Ovis aries: one gene and its partner. The protein of the gene in region 1 purifies or fractionates together with the protein of each later gene. This does not show direct contact. Links are inferred from orthologs where the notes say so. Each region holds a gene or a part of one and is shown on either strand. Other genes may lie near its edges.

Region 1 (2,998 bases):
AGTATTGTTGCCTGGAGAATTCCATGGACAAAGGAGCCTGGAGGTCTATACTCCACGGGGTTGCAGAGTTGGACATGATTGACTGACTAAATTTCACTGTTTTCGGAAATCCATAGGCTACACTTTGACAAGCAAGGTCTAGATGACTCACTTGAAAAAAGGAAGTAGTATTCCTATCTTGAACAATTCCATGTGGTTTGAGAGTTTCTCCATGTGTGGAAAAGTAATTAATCAATACATATTAATGAGTTAATGCTATGTGAAGTGTGATAGATGAAATGCTCTTGTGATGAGATAAATCCAAGACAAATTCTTAAAACTGAAGGCAAAATGCATTTTCTACGTAATACTTCTATTTATGAATATAGGCTCCATCTACCCTAAAATTTTCCTTTGCATGATTTTCAACCTCCTGTCTTACCAGAACTGAAATTTCAACCATCAGAGTTAGAGGGATTGTTTTTCCTCATTCATTACAATTGAATCATTTGGCAAAGAGATTTTTTAAATACATGAAGCAATTTAATTTATCTTTAGTGGTTTAGATAAATAAGTAAAAGGCTTTCTAGGCACCCTCTCTTAAAACCAAGGAAAGGAAACAATTTAACTCAATAAATAAAGTTTTTTCTATTTTCAAAATTTCCAACCAGCTACAATATAATAAACATCAATTATTTTATTAGAATATATAACAGTTCAAAAAATAAAAATAAATAAGTTGCTGCCACAAAATTGCAGCATAATATATAGTTAACTCATTCTGTTATGGTCAGTTAAGAGAAAGATGGCAGGAAAGATGATATAGTCAAAGAAAAAAAGTGGGGAGAGGTACAAAAGAAAGGAGAGTTAGAGTAAAAAGAGAAAAAGAAAGAAAAAGTGTTTTCCTGAATGAGTTAGATACATGAGGTCACCAAGAGGAGCACATCCTCTGACTGAGCCACTGCGATCAGAACTGTATCATTTGATGATTTTACTGCACTGTGTCTTCAACCTAGGGGTAAAGGAGAGTCTCCCATTCACCAGGCAGAAGGACCATCAGCAAGTTTTCACTCTTCCTCACTGGACCAGAAGAATTGCAGGGATGATCTTAATGCTGAAGGAGGAATGCTCACTACCACTTGTCTACACCCGAATGACAGAGTGTTTCCGCCACTACCGAGAAGGTTCAAAGACAATGGTTAATTCAGGCTTTTCTTCTTGAAGTGTTTCTAGGGCACGTTTTGTATCATAGTTGAAATACATTTCACACAGCCTATAAAACCAAAAAGAGAGCCTTGGATTACACTCTTCAAATGAACACTTTCAGAGTTCATTTTTCCTTTAAAAATCTCGTCTCCTCTCTTAACCTCACACTTCTAAGCTTTCCAGTGCTGCACATCGTGCCTAATGTGGTTTCTGTTACATTTTTAACCTTCAAGTTTGGAAATGTTTAAACATGCAAATATAAAGAGAATAGTATAATTAATCCTGCCATCTAACTTTGACAGTTAACAACTCATAGCCAGTCTTGTTTCATCTATTACCCACCCGACTCCTCACATCAGTGGATTATTGTAAGCACAGCAGTTCAAGCGTCTATAAATATATCAATGTGTGAAATTAAACAACTTTTAAGAGAGAATTACAATGCAATTATCACACCCAAAATGGTTAAAAATAACTTTCACATATCAATATATGTGAAATCAGTGTTTCAATTTCCTCAATGGTCTGATAAAAATTTTATATTATATTAATTTAATCAGGAGCCATATAAAGCCCACACATTGAGAATTCCCTGATGGTCCAGTGGTTAAGATTTAGTGCATTCACTCCTGTGGTCTAGGTTCAATTCCTTGTCAGAGAAACAAGTTCCCACAAGCCACAGCCCACCCCTCCACTCTGCCAAAAAAAATCTACATATTATAATTGCTTGGTACACCTATCAATGATATGAGTTCTTCTTCCATCTCTCTTTGTTTTTTTTAATCTCCCTTACAACTTAAATTGTATTATGCTATTTGTCTTGTATCATTTCAAGCAATCTTGATTTGGGTGTGTTATGGATAGTTTATGTTCCTTCAAAATTCATGCGTTAAAGCCTTAACCCTCAATGTGATGGTATTTGGAAATGGAGCCTTCAGGATGTAATGAGGGTTACATGAGTTCATGGGGATGAGTCCTCACGATGGGATTAGTGCCCTTATAAGAAAAGACACCATAACACGTACTCTCTCTCTCTGTGTCTCTGTCTCGGTCTGTCTTTCTCTCTGTGTACCGCATGAGAATACAACAAGCCCAGAAGAAAGCTCTCACCAGAAACCAAATCAGCCAGCACCATGATCTTGGATGTTCCACCCTCCAGAACTATGAGAAATGAATGACTATGATTTGTTTAAGGCATATAGACTATTCTATTCTGTTATGGCAGCCTGAGTTCACAAGGCAGTTTGACTACATCCATGGATTCCCCAGTCTGTGTTGAGCTTGTCCCTCATCTCCAGAGTGTCCTAAAGATATAGATAATAAGTAAACAAGAAAATGATATATGATGTTGCTCAACACAGTGGAGGGAAATAAGCAGAGAAGAGGAAAGGCATTGCTGGGTTGCTATTTTCAGTAGGATGGTTATAGTCAGACTCACAGAAAAGACCTTTGAGCAAATAATTTAAGGATTCACAGGAATAAGACATGTGGACATCAAAGTGTAAGAAGTCCCAGGCAGAGGGAACAGCAAGAGTATAGTGTCAGAGGTGACAGAGATTTTTGAAACAGCAAAGAGAACAGTGTGAATGGAGAAGGAACTAGGGTTAGAAGATGACTACAGAAATAGCAGGATTATGCAGGGCCTTAGACACTGCCATGAGTTTGTGGCTTTTGCTTTGTGAAACAAGCATGTTAGTAGGAGTGATATGCTCTGACTCACGTTTTAGCTATACCCTCCATCTGCAGTGGTAGATACAGAATAGCCTAGTAGAATGCCACCAGGACAGTCCAGACAAGAGGTGACAATGGCTTG
Region 2 (3,028 bases), on another chromosome or scaffold:
TGGGCCCCAATCCACCTAACTCATCCTCATGATTCTGACCACTCTTTTTCCTCTTCCCCACATTCCCACATCCTCCATCTCTCCTAAACACCCCATCCAGTAAGGAAACATTAAGTCATATTAGAGTAAGAGGAGGACTTCCCTGTAGCTCAAATGGTAAAGAATCTGCCTGCAACGCAGGAGACCAGGGTTCGATCCCTGGGTCGGGAAGATCCCCTGGAGAAAGGACCGGCAAGCTACTCCAGTATTCTTGCCTGAAGAACCCCATGGACAGAGGAGCCTGTCGGGCTACAGTGTGTAGGGCTGCAAAGAGTCGGACACGACTGAGTGACTCACACTCACACACACACACACACACACACACACACACACACAAGTAAAAGGAAGATTCCTAAGTCTTTGGCAAGGACTGGAACCACAGCTTCTTAAGCCATTGTAGAGGGAGGATGGGGCCTTCTACCTTTGACAAACTATAACTTAATACCCAAATCTAATTAAAAGCATGTGCGGGGCAGACTTCCCCAGTGGTTAAGACTCCATGCTTCCACTTCAGAGGTGGTGGGTTCCAACCCTGGTGGGGGAACTAAGATATTGCATGCTGAGCGCCCACCGCCCCGCCCCGCCTCAAAGTGTGAGAAGGGGGTGAGAAGGGGGCTGACAGTTCCTCCTTCTGCACTCCACCCCTCCACTGAACCGTTTTTGAGGGGTTGTACTTCAAAAAACTACTCAAGCTCAGACAATCTGAACCTCGACATCTCTTATACAAGCCTCAAATCTTGTTCTAGATATGAGGAACACAGGAAACGGGGAAGGAAGAGGAGACAGTCTCAGTTCTGAGTGTTGAGATGACACCTCCCCACCACTCTCTCTGAGGGAGACCACCCTCAGAGCTGTATATGGTGAAATTTAGGGATTAACGTCAAGGAGGGGGCGGGGGGCTAGGACTTCTCTGGGGGCAAAAGTGACCTTGACTTCTAGAGAAGGCCATCCTAAAGGGGGCCCGGATGGCTTGACCTGGGGTTGCCCTTCTTTCTCCTCATCTTCCCGCAGACCCACTGACCCTGGATGCGGCTTCGGCTCACCCAGATCTCATCATTTCCCAGGATCTGAAGACAGTGACGCTGAACCCGGATCTTCAGAGAGTCTGCGCTGAGCACACCGACCCCGAGCGCTTCTATCCGTTCCGCTGTGTTCTGGGCTTGCCAGGCCTCAGCTCCGGCTGCCAGACCTGGGAGGCAGAGCTCCAAGGGCCCGGGGGCGGGGGCTGCGTGGTGGGCGTGGCCTCGGAGCTAGTACCCAGGAAGGGCATGCTGCAGATAGAGCCCTTGAGCGGCTTTTGGGCGCTGCGCATGGCGGGCTCCCAGTGCCAGGCGCTTACGGAGGCGGGCACCCGCGAGGATCTCTCGGTCTGTCCCAGGAAAGTGGGCGTCTGCGTGAATCACGAGTGCGGCAAGGTCGTGTTCTACGACGCCACCACGAGCAAGCACCTCTACACCTTCCACGCCTCGTTTCCAGGGCAGATCTTCCCCTTTTTCCGGCTCCTGTTTCCCGGGACCCAGATCACCCTGAGTCCCTAGAGTTGTTCTTTGCTTTCCTCTGCGTCTCCTCCCCGGTACCCCCTCGCTTTGGGATGTGTGGGATGTGTGCAGTAGGGTTGAAGCCAGACTTCCAGGAACCCTTTAGGAAAGTTACACTCTTTGGCTTCTTGATCGAGGCCTGATATCTCTGACATTCCCCCCACGGCCCCCACCCCGCCCTTTACATTTACCTTGTTACTTTCAGTCCCCTTTTCTCCCCAGTATACCTAGGTTGAAAAGGAAGCTTCAAATAGACAAGACTATTTACTGTCGCATTATGAATCAATAGGTGATTCTGCAATGAGAATGTTGGTTGAGACACAGATTCCAGGAGACCACACACTGATTTGAGGCTGTGGCTTTTCTCCTCGATGTCCTTGAGAGTGTGTGCAGGCTTGGCCCGTCTGGACCTCATCCTTTCGAGGGACCTGGAAAACATGACGCCGGATCGCTGATTGTTGTCTCCCCAGACGACTCAGTCAGGTCTAGACCTTTTGCAAGTGAGGACTGTCTGTCTATTATTTTAGGACGACCTCCAGGATATATTAAGTGAAAAAAAACCAAGATGGAGAATAGTGCACACAGCATGCTACACTTTACCTAAGAAAAGGGGAAATGTAAATATACCTTTTTATTTTTGCTTATATTTATTTTTAAAGTGGAAGGATAAGCCAAAACCTAACAAAAACACTCACCTTTGGGAGGAGGGGAAACCAAGTGGAAGACATGGAAATTAGGCTTTGGAATTATATAAATGTTTTACATCATTATAAAACAAAATTAAATTAAAACAAGAGAAACCTAACTGTGTAAGTAGTTGGTAGCTTAAATTCTCCGTTCTTAGGAGTTAGTTTAGGTGACTTTAAAACACAGTAATTTAGCTGTATCTCCTTTGTGGAATATAGTCTAATGACAAAAAGAATTGAAAATAAAACTTAAAATCTTCAGTTATCATCTTGGTAATAATATTTTTGTTGTTATTCTGAATTTATTATGTATTATGTTGTTTAGTCCCTAAGTCATATCTGACTCTTTTGTGACTCTATGGCTTCTCTGTCCATGGGATTTTCCAGGCAAGAATACTGGAGTGGGTTGCCATTTCCTTCTCCAGGAGATATTCCTGATCCAGGGATCCAACCTGTGTCTCCTGCATTAGCAGGCAGATTCTTTACTGCTGAGCCACCTGGGTAGCCCATGTATTATGTATGTGTACATATATACCCAAATATAATAAGATAAAGAAAATAAGCAATTATGTTAACATTACCAGGAACCAAGATTTTCCACCTGAAAGATTAGTTTTCTCTTATGATTATGACGTAAAAGAAGAGAAATAAAAACATAGTGATCCCAAATTTGAATTGGAAAATCAAAATGTGATAAACTCACGATGTGTTTTCCTTAAAAAAATAATAAAATGCATTCCTTAGCTTCCTTCACAAAGAAACACT

What was found.
Region 2: the proteins of NLRP3 (region 1) and TRIM31 purify together in Homo sapiens (affinity purification with western blotting; 3 studies listed by BioGRID). This does not show direct contact. The link is inferred for Ovis aries from reciprocal best matches to the Homo sapiens genes NLRP3 and TRIM31.

The regions. Positions count from the first base shown.
Region 1 is NC_056058.1:38,456,985-38,459,982, reverse strand, and holds the end of NLRP3 (NACHT, LRR and PYD domains-containing protein 3), read right to left. Parts: intron 1,253-2,998; coding exon 1,153-1,252; 3' UTR 501-1,152; downstream 1-500. UniProt on the Homo sapiens protein: Sensor component of the NLRP3 inflammasome, which mediates inflammasome activation in response to defects in membrane integrity, leading to secretion of inflammatory cytokines IL1B and IL18 and pyroptosis.
Region 2 is NC_056073.1:27,906,270-27,909,297, forward strand, and holds the end of TRIM31 (E3 ubiquitin-protein ligase TRIM31), read left to right. Parts: intron 1-1,050; coding exon 1,051-1,577; 3' UTR 1,578-2,528; downstream 2,529-3,028.